Cricetulus griseus: one gene and its partner. The protein of the gene in region 1 interacts with the protein of each later gene in a biochemical or structural test. Links are inferred from orthologs where the notes say so. Each region holds a gene or a part of one and is shown in the gene's direction. Other genes may lie near its edges.

What was found.
Region 2: the proteins of Apba1 (region 1) and Cntnap4 form a complex in vitro, tested with the Homo sapiens proteins (2 studies listed by BioGRID and IntAct, with this or other methods). The link is inferred for Cricetulus griseus from reciprocal best matches to the Homo sapiens genes APBA1 and CNTNAP4.

Annotation. Positions count from the first base shown.
Region 1 is NC_048596.1:37,521,267-37,528,596, reverse strand, and holds the start of Apba1 (amyloid-beta A4 precursor protein-binding family A member 1), read left to right. Parts: upstream 1-2,399; 5' UTR 2,400-2,531; intron 2,532-2,893; exon of another isoform or gene 2,894-3,085; intron 3,086-7,330. UniProt on the Homo sapiens protein: Putative function in synaptic vesicle exocytosis by binding to Munc18-1, an essential component of the synaptic vesicle exocytotic machinery. May modulate processing of the amyloid-beta precursor protein (APP) and hence formation of APP-beta.
Region 2 is NC_048596.1:189,014,643-189,021,894, forward strand, and holds the start of Cntnap4 (contactin-associated protein-like 4), read left to right. Parts: upstream 1-2,563; coding exon 2,564-2,654; intron 2,655-7,252. UniProt on the Homo sapiens protein: Presynaptic protein involved in both dopaminergic synaptic transmission and GABAergic system, thereby participating in the structural maturation of inhibitory interneuron synapses.

The DNA of each region.
Region 1 (7,330 bases):
CACAAGCCGCAGCAGGTAAGGCTTTAACTTAGACTCTAGTCACTTGGCAGCCTGTCTACAGACTGTTACCTGCTACAATGGCTGGCCGTTTGCCAGCATTTTATATACTGCCCTTTGAAGCAGGGAATAGCAGTTTTGGCTTTTGTTAACAGAAGGTGGACATAAATATTTGAAGTCCTTAGAAGAGTATCAATAATAAGGTAGAAACATACCAGTAATGCAGATACAGAGAATCTACAGGTAGACTAACACCGAAGGAAGGGTGAATATAAATGCCATATGGGCCCCTCCATTTCCTACACTGAACTACAAATGTGGTTTGGAGCTTCCTGCTAGATGAGGCACAAATACACCATCCAGAAGGACCAAGGACATCTATGTTCCTGTGAAAGGAAGATTTCCATATATAAACATTGACAAATAGCTGCCATTATAGTGATGCTAGCAAAGCGCCTTTACACATTTGCTTTAACCAAACCCCTGTGATCTAAGAATGATTGGAAAGAATCAGGAAAGCAACAAATGTTTCTGCTACTCAGAGTTTGGTGGGAATATCACACAACACACGGGGGAAATGAGCTGGCAAACCAAATGGTAGCAAGTTGATACAGCTGTATTAGTTGCTTTTCTTGAAACGGCTGTGACAAAATGCCAGACAACAGCAACTAAAGGAAGGAAGCCTCCATCGGGGTGGAGCAGGCTTGGGGGCCTGCATACTGTGGTGTCTGGCCACACTGAGTCCATTGTAAGTGGCAGAGTGAGGAGCACAGTGCTAGGCTCTACTCAGTTTCTCCTTTATAGCCACCCAGTCTAGAGTCAGTCTGTGTAAAGGTGCTGCCCACATTTAGGGTGGGTTTTCCCTCTTTTCAGTCAAATCAACCTAGAAATTTCGTCAGAGGGGATATCTAAAGCGATTCTCGAGCTGTCAGGATAACGAAGATTTAACTACCACAGCATCAAAATATGCTTCTCACCAAGGATCTGTACTCTCTCCTATTTAACCAAAACTTAACCAGTAAGTTAAGCTTGCATGGTAAACCTACAATAAGGGAACAGAAGCAATGACAGAAATGTACTCTGAAATTGCCCCCCTCCCCAAGGGGTGCAAATGAAAGCAAAGGCAAAAACTTAACAGAGCTGCCAGCTAGAAGACACACCTAACCCAGAAAGCGTTCACCAAACAGGCATAGCAAGAGATTCGGGATTCGTCCTGACTCGGTTTTCCTGCCCTAGACTCTGCGCCTCTGAGCCGCGCTCTCTCTCCACCGAGCTGCCTCACATACCTTTCAAGAACAGAAACAAACGTGATGCTGCTTGTTCTTGTTGGATCAATCCAACTCTCAACAACCCCTAGTGCCCCTTTTTGCCTCAAAAAGTAAAAGCTGTGACTACTGCCTGCTTGAGGCGTGCTGTGCCTCAGACCCACGAGAGGGGTCCTCACACCTTTACTTCCTTCTAAGTGGTCTCCTGGAATAGCCCTTTCCTCAGGCAGCCCAGTCAACATCAGACCCCACCCCCATCCCCAGCACCTTCGCAGTTGGAAAGCTCACAGTTGCTCTGGATTGTGTAACATTTTCCCCAGGATGCTATGAGTTCTGGAGGACACCATCTGTCTCTCACCCGTGAGAGTATCTATACTGACAAAATGAATAGGTAATGAATGTTACAGGACAAGCAACAATGGTACATATTTCTTGTATGTTTTATTATATTTAGGGGACAGGAGAAGCTATAGTCATCTCTGTCAAAGCAAAGAAATTCATTATGAAATAGAGTGCAAAATTCATACGAATTTTAAAGCTAAACAGAAATTCTACAATGCTTCAGGCTACACCCGCAGATATTTCTGGAGGTACTGTGCTCAATATGGAAACACCATGCAACGAATAGGCTCATCTCTCCTGAGGTCGGATAAGCAAGGCTTTTTGTTTTCATTTCGCTAGACGAGAATAAGTGTACGAAGAGAGACTGGAAAACTAAAAGGTTTCGGGGAAATATGATTTAATTTTTAAATTGAGAACTCTGTCTGGAAGAAGGGGAACACGTGGGGCTAGCGCCAGAACCCACCCCCACCCCACCCCACCCCCCGGGGGGGGCAGTCCAACTTTTCATTAAGACACAGCACCTGCCACCTGGTCCCTAATGGAAAGGGTCCCCACCCTCCAGAGATCCCAGTCCTATTTCGAGCAGATCACCCGTGCCGGGCTGGAAGACTCTTTGAAGCTCCTAGCAACCGATACGGAGAAGCCAAGTGGACCCTTCCCTGGCCCCGCCTTCCAGACGTTTCCAGGGTGGAGTGGGACTGAGCAGCGCCCCCGGTGGGCAACCAGGCGGACAGCTTGCTCCGCTCGAGCCCACGCGGGCGCCCCCTGGCGGCCACATGCGGAGAGCGGAGGCGCGTTGCCAGCCTTTTCCGACTTTCAGACCCTGGAAGCGGGAAAGCCCGGTGTCACTAACAAGAGGACACGCGCAGCCGTCCACGCGGCTGCTCCGCTCCGTGTCCTAAGCGTGGCCAGATCCCATATGCAAAGGTCGGGCCCGGGATGAGCGTTAGGGACCTGGGGTTGGGGACGATGGAAGTCCCCGTGGGTCCCCGCGGGAGGCAGCCACGTAGTCCACCCCAGGATCCCGGGCACGAAAGGGAGGGACTCGCGCTCTGATTGCAGGCGCGGCCACGGCGAGGGGCGCGGACACTTGGCACGCTCACGCGCGCCGGAGCGGGACTCCTGCGCCGCCGCGTCGGGCCCGCGCCGCGCGAGCACGCGGGTGGGCGTGGGAGGCAGGGGCGCCGCTTGCACGCGGCGTGCGCGCGCTCCCCCCGCCGTCAGTCGCAGCCGGCCGGCCCCGGCGCGCGTCACGAGGCGAGCGGGCGGCGAGCAGGGGGTGGGGCCGCGGGGGGCCCGAGCCGCTGCCGAGCTAGAGCCGGAGCCGGGCGCGGGCGGCTGCGGTCCCGGTGGCGGCGGGGGAAGATGGTGGCGCTGGAGGCGGGAGCGGCTAGAGAGCAGCTTTATTCCCAGGCTTGGCACGGTCGCTGTCACTAGCGCCGCCTGCTCCCGCGGGCCCGCGGACCCAGCTGTCAGGCAAGGTACCATGGCCAGGGAGGGCTGGGTGAGTGCGGGGCGCCCGACGCCCCGGACGGAGCCTGGTTGCTCTCGGAAGGGCGATCCTGGGAGCGAGGAGTGCTGCGTGGAACAATAGTGAGGATGAACAGGGACTGCGGGCAACATCCAGGGGGCAAAGCCTGGAGCCAGCGAGGCGGGGGAAGGGTGTGTACCAGAGAGATGCCAGGCGTCCGGTGCGCGCTGAGATACCAGGCTTTGAGAAGAGCGGGCCTGATGACAGTCATGGCAGTGCGTGCGTGTGTGTGTGTGTGTGTGTGTGTGTGTGTGTGTGTGTGTGTGTGTCTGCGTCTGTGTGATGGCAGTGGGGATGGAGGTGGCGGATCCGAGGTGTAGGGGGGATGACATTTCCAGGAATCCCCGCTAGGATCCCTCCTCTCTGGCTGACTGACGATGGAAACCGTGAGGTGGGCAGGATGCACTTGGTGTGTGAAGTGTGGAGGGAAGCAGTAGGGTAAGGCCGGGTTTGTAAAAATCCTGTGTAAGAGTGAGTAGCGTGCAATTGGATCCACGCTCCCCAAACTGCGCCCCACATCCAGCGATCTGCTTTTCCTTACTTGATGCCACCAGCTAACACTGTGGGACAGTGTTGGTTATTTCGACCATGCAAGTCAAGTACATACAGTTTCTGTTCTGTTTCTGGTCTTGGGTGGCTGGGTGTAGGGATTCTCGCTTCCCTTTTCCCTGACCTCATAATACGGGCATGTGGAAGTGAGCGTTTTGCTTTGAGGCACATGGCAGGAAAACAGGATAATGGTTATACCTTTTGAGACTGCCGGTGTCCCTGGTTCTGAAGGGAGCTTTCCTGATACTTTCCAGCCCCTCCTCCGTCGGATCCCTGACTGCCTGACTCTGCAATTTCTATTGTTTATCTCTTGTCTAACCCAAAGAGAAGGGTGTTTAATGGACCCCTTCCTACAACTTTTATCGCCAAGTCTTCCACATTTGCATACTGAAACCCTTTTGGCTGAAGGATGGTAGTCTTTGTGTTGCTTCTTTTAGAATAAACTCTGGAGGTGTTTAAGGGGGTGGGGCTTTAAAAATAAAAGAAAGAGATTGAGAGGGAGATAAAAACGAGGAAAAAGCCCATACTGAGAAATGTTTTACGTTCTCTTGGGTGTTTTTCCTTGGGAAACGGTTTTTTCCTTGGGATACTTAATTTCTGCTATCCACTCGCCCAGCTTTCACAATGGTTAGAAGGTCCATTTAGGAACTGAAATCTCTTGCGACCCATGGTGATAAGATCTCGGGTCAGTGCAGCACTCGGAGGAAATTTGGCAAATGTCCGGCTCTCCGGTAATGTCTAGGAACCAGGACACCAAAAAGCACCCAGAGTCTATAGATGCTTAAATTCCTCTGCGTAATAAAGATAGGGTTGGGGAGAGAGAGGAATCATGATGGCATATTCATGTGTGTCCACTGCAGCCTGGTTCCCTGGAGTCTGTATTTCTCCTGCAGTATCCATAGGAGCAAATGCACCTTTATGCTAATAGCTCAGTACTTTATTGAAATCGTATGAGTGGATTAACCTGCTTGGGACACATTTTAGTCATAATACCTCAAATTCTATTGAATTTCTGTCAGAACCCAAATGGGCTGCCCTGAGCCTCTTTGAAAAGCCTGTAATAATCAAGTCTGTACAAATAAATGTACAACACATTGAGACCAAAGATTTACTTCTTTTTCTTAAATTTTTAAAAATTTTGTTCTTTGGGCAAAGATTGCATTATTTTATTGATCCATTGAAAATAATAAAACTAAGGCCATCCACATATGATTTTTTCTTCTCATTTGTCGTTTTTAAAAAATTGATGATGATATATGGGCCAGGTGCCCTGGAAGCTGTCAATATAAAATAAATTGCCCCATGTCCTTTAAGTCAAGACTTCTAAAATTTTAATGTGAGGTTGTTGGATCTCACCCAAGATTTAAAAGAGTATTTATAAAAATGAATTTTGAATCTTAGTTCTTTATTCTCTTATTGCTTCAGTCATATATCTCTTTCTGATGGATGTAAAAGTCAGTTAAGAGGTTTTGGTTTCTTTATAGTAAAAAAAAAGTTACCATCTCTGTATTTGCAAGTAAAACCATATATGTAAATTTCTTATAGTATTTATTGTTTCATTGTTTTAAAGTTGAAAACAGGAATCATTTCTAACTGAGTTTAAAGTTCACTTTGAACATCATTCTTACTAATCAGTATGTATTTGAAGAGTTCTAGTAAATAGAACTCAAAATATTAGAGCTCAAAAATATTAGAACTTACCAAAGTAAATACTAACCTGGTTAGAGAAAGAATTGCAGGGCAGCACAAAGGATGGCTTGAGAATTTCTGATTTCCTTTCTCATGTAAATGAGATGATTTTTCAAATGCCATGCCCTGCTTTTCTAACGTTTGGCCTGGCGAGGTTAAAGGTTCAACTTGAATCTGTAATTCAGGTTGGTAAATGGCTGCACCTTTCCCTGCAGGCTGCAGCCAGCCAGCCATTTGTTTTGCGTGGATGCCCTTTCTTACCTTAAAGTAGCTTTAATGCTTTTCTCTTCTATTATGAGCTTCTTTTTAAAAGTTTGGCTTTTATTTTTCAGAAGACTTGGAAGTAAAAGACATTTGAAAATTGATCTGTGGGGTCAAAAGGAATAAACCATGATACCACGGGGAAATTGGGCGTTTATGCTACATGGAAGAAGAAATCAAGAGAGTGGCAAGTGGTGCAAACAGACTTGTCCTTTAATAAGTTGGGTAGTGAAGGAGAGGGTGATACATCACAGGAATGGCACAGCAGAGGGAAGGAAACCTACTTCATAAGCCTGGGCTATAAATCAATTCAGAGATTTGATCTGCGGTGTTAGCAGGAGGTTACATTGATAAAGACTTCAAAATGGTGACCCACGCCAGGTGGAAGAACAGCTCCTGAGATGGAAACAGGGGACTAAGATGAAAGAAAAGGGAGGGCAGGTTGGGACCAGGAGTAGAATGGCAACAGCTCGTGGGTTGTGGAAAATTGGCATGAGTGAATGACCATGGCTTCCCGAGAGGAAGGTGTCTCTCTGTGTTTGGGTTTGTAGAGGAAGCCACGAGCCGCACACAATTAGACTTTAGCAACTACTTAATTTTTGTAATAGTGAACATTCAGTATTGCTAAATTCAGTGGGGTTTCTGTCCCTTATTCTCCATGGAAAAATATGTTTACTTTTAACATTGCCTGAATTTATCTGAAACTCTGTTAGAAAGCTTTGCCATGAGAACTTCCTCTTGAGGATCTTTGAGTTAAATAAATAAAGCTTATAATGAGATAATGGAGAAAAATAAGGCTTTCTTTTTAAAGATAAATTGTTCTTATCTATTACAGCAAGATATGGCTTTTACAGTGAAGTGTAAAGTTGATTTTTCAAAACTCAAGTATAGCACCTTAGCTAACACCACACCCGTCATAAGTATTCGATAGATTTTTGTCACATGAATTCATGAATAAATTAATTTGTTTTAGTGAGTTAAATATAGTCTCTGAGATCTGAAATTTCAGAATTTATTTAGACAGTGGATATCTAATGATTTGAATTCTGTGACCCGTATAAGGTTATGGTAATATAAACCTGTTTATGTATTCATAGCTGCTACGTACACCTATCTGGAAAAGCAAGGACACCGTTTCTCACCAAATACGGATGCTTGCTTTCTCAAATGAGCGAGACGATTCCAGATGAGATTGTATAACTTTATCTGTAGCTAATAGAATTTGCTTGTACTTTTAACAACTATTAATCAAACGCCCTCTCAGGCTAGCTGAAAGGATAGAGGTTGAGTATGGGAGTTGGAAGAGTCCCTTTCACTACAGAGCTTTTAGTGGGAGGAGACCACGTGAAATAAATAGGTGACACTATATGTTATTTATGAATAAGAACAAAATGGTAGGGGAGGGACCAGGGAGGCAGCTCAGTGGTTAAGGTGCTTACTGTGCAAGCATGAGGACCAAGGCTTGGATTCCCAGAACCCACATGAGTGTCAGGTGGGTGTGGTGGCCTAACTGTAATTCCAGCTTCAGAAGACAGACAGGATTCCCCAGATCATGCAGAGAGAGGAGCCATATCAGCAACCTCTGGGTTTGGTTAAGAGACCTTGCCTTAAAATAACAAGGTAGAAAAGCAGTTGAGGACATTTCCAGCACCAATCTAAGGCCTCCTGCGTGCACATCCAAGCTTGCATACATATC
Region 2 (7,252 bases), about 150 Mb from region 1:
CACACACACACACACACACACACACACACACACACACACATATATATATAATTATTTTCCATGTTGATTCAATACTAATCTTCAAATTTCCTCATTTGTTTTCATGTAAACAGTGACAAGTTTAGTAGGGTGATAATATTTCCTTCTGGAAAGCCCAATACTTTGCTGCCAAAGCAGCAGTTTTACAGGCCCATAGATCAGAATGTCAACTCTGTCCTTCCTTCCTCCTTCCCTTGCTCCCTGCTTCCTTTGCTCCTACCTTTGCTGCTCCTTCCCTCCCTCCCTGCCTCCTTCCTTCCTCTTTCCCCCCTCACTGAGACAGGGACTCACCTAGCCCAGGCTTGCTTCAGATTTGCTGTAGCTGAGGATGACCTTGACTTTCTGATGCCCCTAACCCACCTTCCAAGTGCAAGGATTACAGGCATGCACCACCACAACTGGTTTATGTGTGCTGGCAGTCAAACCCAGGACCCTGTGCCTTTTAGGTAAATACTCTTATCAACCGAGCTTCACTTTTCCAGACAGTGCAGTCTCACAGAGGTCTAGAAGGGCTAATCTATTCCTTCTGTAGGCACAGGATATCTTCCTCAAATGATCACTTTAATAATTTAATTAAATAATAAGTGGAAGATAGCATGTAAATTAAATCACCCCCACAATAATTACTGATATAAATTGTTAATATGTACCTGTCTTTCTTGACATTTTATGGCTTGAAAGCCAAAGCCAGGAATTTAGGTCTAGGAACAGAGAAAACACTCAGGCCCTGATTTTCTTTTCCCTGATACTGTTTTTAAGGACTGGAGTTTTTGCAGGAGTCTTGGGGGGGGGGGTGTGAACTCTGATTCGATGACAGCAAGCCCTAGACTGAGATCAGTAGAGCCAGAGCCAAAAACCCAAGCCCAGCTTTCTTCACTTTACTTCCTAACTCAATGACCCTGCAAACCACTCCCTTCTCTGTTCTTGGTTTTTCATCTGAAAAATAGGAAAAGCAAAACTATCCATTCAGCTTTGTTTGAAGTCAAGAGCTAAACAATTAGGCTTGGTGTATGGATGGTTCTCCCAAATCACTCCTTTTTCATAGCCCAGCAAGGCTGCCGATGGGAAAGGCTTGAGCTTCTCCCTGTTCCAAACACCAAGATGTTGCTTGATAGCTCCTGGATTCCTGTCTTTACACCACCTAGCTAATCAGCAGGAAGGCATCTTGACATTTATTTTTTGAGAGATGATTTACCCTCTCTGACACCGTGCGATGTGCTGCTCTGTATGGGGCCTTAGCTTTATCATTTAAGTGATTTAATATTCAGCACAAGCAATAGTACCCATAGAGTGGCCACTGGAAGAGTATTCTTTGTAGTAGTTGAGTGTGTGTGTGTGTGTGTGTGTGTGTGTGTGTGTGTGTGTGTATGGGATGTATGGGAGAGGGTTCCCTTTTTTCAGTATTCCATCATTTTCCATTTGGGGCCCTCTGGGAATTACTATTAAAGAACACGATTGTGGAATGCTGCCTACTCACAGAAGAATGTGTTCATGAAACTCAATCTACCCAGAGCACTCCACTGGTGGATTTGTATTCCTGAAGCACCAACCAAAATAAGAAATGTTAATTTCTTGCAGACTATTATCAGATGATTTTTAAATATCTGCCAAGCAGGAATGTCTGTTCCCATGTGAGGAATTTCCGTAATAAAACCTTGGCACCAGAGCACAAGGCGATAGTTTTATAGAAACAGAAAAAACAGCAAGCATTTTCCCGGAGGACAGTTTTAGCTACAATTCACCAATGCTTGCTTTGTTATTTCTGTCTTATTTTATGCTTTTGTTTTGAAACATAATGCAATTTTACCTGGATACACTCCCGGGCAATCAGGAAATAGCTCAGTATGTTGGTTGGCACTGCCAAATACACGACCTGCGGAAAATCAGAAGGCTTCTCTGCCTGGCCACTTCCCCCACCCCATAAGGCTGGCAGGGCACAAAACGGGTTAAGGCTTATTGAGAATATATGGGGAGGGGAGGAAGCCCCGAGGAGGCCGGGAGCAGCGGACAGCGCCTCCAGGTCCAGCTTCCATCACCTGCAGCGGCTGCGGAGCTCAGAAAGCTGCTAGCTGGTGCTGTGCTTTTCAGAGGAGGTAGGATGCTGAGGCCAATTTCTAGGACCGCTGCGAGGAGTGGGCGTGGCCTCGGCGGCAGTAGTGTGTAAGCTTGTTAGGACAGATGCTGGTTGCTTTTCAGTGAGGAACCAGTGCTTGGTGGGGGGAGGAGCGAGAGAGAGCGAGAGAGAGAGAGAGAGAGGGAGAGAGGGAGGAGAGAGAGAGAAAGAGAGAGAGAGAGAGAGAGAGAGAGAGAGAGAGAGAGAGAGAGAGAGAGAGAGAGAGAGAGAGAGAGCAGAGGAGGGAGGAGGAAAGGAGGAGAGAGCAGTAGCGCGTGAGAGGAGGGAGGGAGGAAAGAGAGCCAGAGAGCTAGAGATACTGAAGACTCAGTGCTGGGTGAAGGACCGAGGAGAACCTGTCTCCAGCGCGCCCTGAGAGCCACTTGAGATCTTTTGGGGAGCTAAAAAATTATGAATATGGGATCTGTCACTGGTGCTGTCCTCAAGACGTTACTTCTGTTGTCTACTCACACCTGGAAGAGAGTGGAAGCCGGGAATTCGTGTAAGTACACAGCAAATGATTTAAAACTTGCAGGGGGGCTACGCGCAAAACTTTGATTCTGTTGTTATTATGATTAATCTTTTCAACTGGAATTGCTGCGGGGGGCTAAGCGAAGTACCACAGGAGAATTGTGCAATAGGACTGGGTTCCTCCTGGTCTTGTCAGAATATGCAAAATGTTATCTGGACTATTTTTTTTTTTTTTTACTAGCAGAATCTTACTCTCCTTGAATATTCATTGAGAATAGTCAACTTCTAGTAAAACATTACATTAGCATCTTAATCATAGACCGGCCCAGGCACCTCTCTTCAGGTTATTGAATTTCCTTGGGATTATTTGGCTAGCAGGAAAACAACCCGCAGACTTGATATTCTTTCTGCTGCATTAGCTAAGATTTCTGAAGTTTGCGATTTAGCAGTAGCTGGCTGCATCTCTAAAATGATGCAGACTAATAACTGAAACATACTGCAGACTTCACCGGCAGGCAGCACTGGTGGAAGGAAGCACAGCTCAGCATTGAAGAGCCCTGTCCTCCCTGGGAAGAGCACTCCTGGATGGGCACCCAGCCCTACATCTGGCTTAAAGGGAAATATGAAGGTGATTCCCACCCCAGCCACCACCTTAAGTAGTGTTCTCTTGTGGTTGAATTTTCAACTTCATGTGTTTGTAATTGATTGTCTTGGTACTGAGTTCATTGATTCAAGGAACATTCGTCACAGTCTCTCTGCTTCATTTAAATATCACCCAAAATATATTGGCCAACTCTTTCATCAGCTTGCAATTGGAGATAGGAAAAGTTTCTAAAGTTTATATTTGGCTTAAATTCTCTAAATGGAAGTATTTTCCCATCTGCCATCATGCATGATAAACAGCTCAGCAAACACAACTTTTGTTTTCTGTCTTGGATTTTAAAGATCATCTTTATCTGCTTTACATTACAAGAAAGTGTTACAAGGCCTGTTCAGGAATGGACTCCACTGCTGTATTGCCAGGGTTAGGTTTGGGAGACAGAAACTGGTCGCTGTCTTTCCTGTAGAACCTCCTTTGACTTTACTGAAGAGTCCTAGTGGGGGAAGAACTCATGGTCATAAGCCCAAGTCCATTCACGCTGCGTGACCATGGTGATTTGTGCTTCCATTTGCAGGACTTCATTTAATGTCACAATTTATCTGCCACTCTGCAAAGGAGAGAACTTCTTTCAAGGGCTGCACTGTTTCCCTTCCAATTTTAAATTGGATGCCTGGAAACAAGTCAATAAAATGTGCATGGTTACACCCAGTCAAAATCTTGGGGGGTCCTTTGGTGATAGACTTCGACAAACATTGTAGCAAATAAACAAACAAACAAGGACCACAAGCGACCAGAGCCCATCCACTCAGGTAAATGAAGTTTTGTGGCAAAGGTATCCCGAAGCTGCACGCATTCAGTGAAGAGGGAGCACTAGAGGTCACTGTTGCGATGTGAAGCACATCACAGGCTCCTTTCCCTTGAGAAGGGCAGAGCTTCACCCTGGCCTAACCCAGTTTGCCTTTCCAATGCGTCACATGTGGTTTGCAGTATATTAATATGAGTAATTGGGTTGTGAGCTGTTGATGTTTGTCTGCTTGCTTGAAGTCTGATGCAAACTATAACCAGAAGATCTGTATTAAAGGGCTTTTTCCCCCCCAGTACCTCTTCTTAGCCAAGGGAAAGTGAGCAGCTGGGATTTGAGGAGAGGCTTGGGCTCTTGTCTGCTTGGCTCTGGCTGGTGCAGTTTCAATGTTGGATCTGTACCCGCTGGGGTTGGAGATCTCTATGAAGTCATTGGCTAAACTCAGAGAGCCTAGAATTAAATGATCAGGAAACTTTAAGTATTAAAATTGGAATTCCTGGTTAGTTGGCTTTTCTTCAAGGGTCAAAATTCATAATTCAGTGGCTTCAGATAATTAAGGTGACTTTTAGTAATTTCTTATTGGTATTTTGACAGTGTAGATACAAAAGATTTCATTTTCTAATTTTAATATTATTCCTCAGTTTTTACATTTTGGAGGCATCAGGGTCCACTTGTTGCTGGGTTAGGATAGAAAGGTCATTTTTGGAAGACCAAGTATGTATTATGTGTTTATGAACAAGGGTGAAAGTGGGCCAAAGGACAGCAACTAACTAGCATAAGCATCTCAAAGCCTTATAAGGCCTCCAATAACTCTTCTGAACCAGATTGTATATTAATAAGAAGTGAATCAATCTTAAATCCCACTAGTAAAGTCAGAGGGAACTGAACATAAGCAAAGGAAAATTAAAGGCCTGTCTCTTGGGTGAATGCAAACACCTTTCTCCTTATTTACAACTGACTCACAAGGAGAAAATCTGTCATCCTCTGAGTCACCCTTTGGGTAACAATAAGAACATTTGCCTAGGGGACTCTGTAAACCTGGGATTAGCTGAACTCTAATTTGAATATTAATTGATCTAATTAATCAACTGGGAAATTTGCATTAGAAAGATTCCATGCAAACAGAACTACCTTCTCCTCCCTCTCTCTCTCATGCTTACACACACACACACACACACACACACACACACACACACACACACGCAAACATACACATACACACCCCTATGTGCAAGTACAGATTACTAACCCATGTGCCCTGAGCATTCTTGGTGACTCTGGTCAGTACCTGTGAATTTAAGAAGAAATATATTGAGTGGGTCACATTCTTTGCTTCTGGGGTCCCATACAACATTTCCAAGCTGTGAGCCAGCACCCAAGTTTTACTTTTTTGTCCAGGTCAAGATAAGTTTGCTACTACACTGAGCCATCCTTTTCGTGCAAACACAGTGACAGGTGTCCTTGCACATGGGCATGCTTCCTGGGTCTCCTTGACTTCTTCACTTCCTTCTAAGAAAGATACTATAACGGGGATGTTATTTATTTATTTTACACTTGTTCTTAAGAACCCACAATTTCTGAAGGTCTAGTTAGTTTATTTTTTGGGGGGCTAATAGCCATATAAGAAGGATGGGATGTAACTAGTAAGTATGGGACAGGCTTTGCTTTGTTTTCATTCTGACAGATCACATGATGAAGGACACACTGAGCCCTGCTCTGAGAATAATTAACACCCACCACATAGTTCACTAATGACTTAATTAGAAGTTAGCTTCTGTCCATGTTCTTTCTTTCCTTTAATTGAAATCAGGGATATATGGAAAGGTAACTGCTTGAGTAGACAGATGATCATTCTTACCAGATACAACCCAGATACAATTGGACAGATCCTCAACTTACTAAAATTCAGTTATGTAGTTCTTTCTAAAAGCTTCCTTTTATTCTCTCTCCTCTTCCAGATATGCTCTATAGTAAAGTAATGAAATATTTAAATGCAATAACAAAGTACTGATGAATATGATCCATGACGCAGTGTGTTAATGGCTGGCCCTTGGAAGTGAAGATCAGTGGGTTCTCTGACTTGATATCCTAGGATCATTTACTTTTTCCCATTTATTGCCTTCTCTCCACTTATTGCATCAACTCAGACCATTTCTGATGCTTTTGTCCAGGGATAGCTTATAAGCCAATGTGGAGACCAAACATAACTTCCATATGGCACCTAGTGCTTAAAGTAGTAAATGTTGTTATTGTCTTACGAATTAGTTTTGGAATTCGTATCACATACAAACAATTAGAGTCAATCTGTATGTCAATTGACTATTTTTTTTTCATTGAAAATAGATCAATGGAATTGTGAAAGGTCGTTGGAAAGAGGGCTGTAATGTTTATCTCAGGGGTTGGCAGGGTATGGCTTTTGAGTCAAATCTGGTCTCATGCCTGTCTTTGTATGGCCTATGAACTAGCAGTGAGGTTTGCATCTTTACCTGAAAACAAAGGAGACAATAAGAAACAAAATGACAGTGTGTGAAATGAGTTTATATTAATATTGATGGATAAAAATGGTCTTACATCACTAATCATGCAAATAATGAAGGAGCTACTCCCACTCCTGGCAATTTAACAGGAGAATCCTTCACTTTCATATTTTCTCTATTTGTTTCTCCTAAACGACTATTGTTGAGAAATCTCATTTCCATGACTATGCAATACTTGCATTTGTTAGGAAAGTTTCACAGCACTTTTGGCTTCTAAGGGGGCATTTTTAATCTCAACTAATTGCATTACTATGCAGTGCTTGATAGAGTATGTGAGCAATTTCCCCTCAGATTTAGGATAAAAATTCTGTTGTTACTCCACATTTTCATGAGCATGAAATATTCTACTCTATATGATTCAGAAAAGATTTGGAATCAAATTGATTATGTGAGGGAAACAGTCTTGTTTGAAGAGTGTTCTTGCTTTGGAAGTAACTCAGCAGCTTCCCCAAAATGCTCAAATTGGCAAACTTTCTAGAACAAATTGAAAAATAGATTTTCATTTAAGTACAACCCACTGAGAATTCATAATAATTAAGCAAGTGCTTTCCACCTACTCATGCCCGAGTAATTAATTTGTATGTAAATATCTTGTCCATTTGGAATTGTATTTACTTTTGATTTCCAGAAACTGATCATTAGGTTAATTTTATTTATATTACACTATTTATAGCATTTTAAAGAGCAAG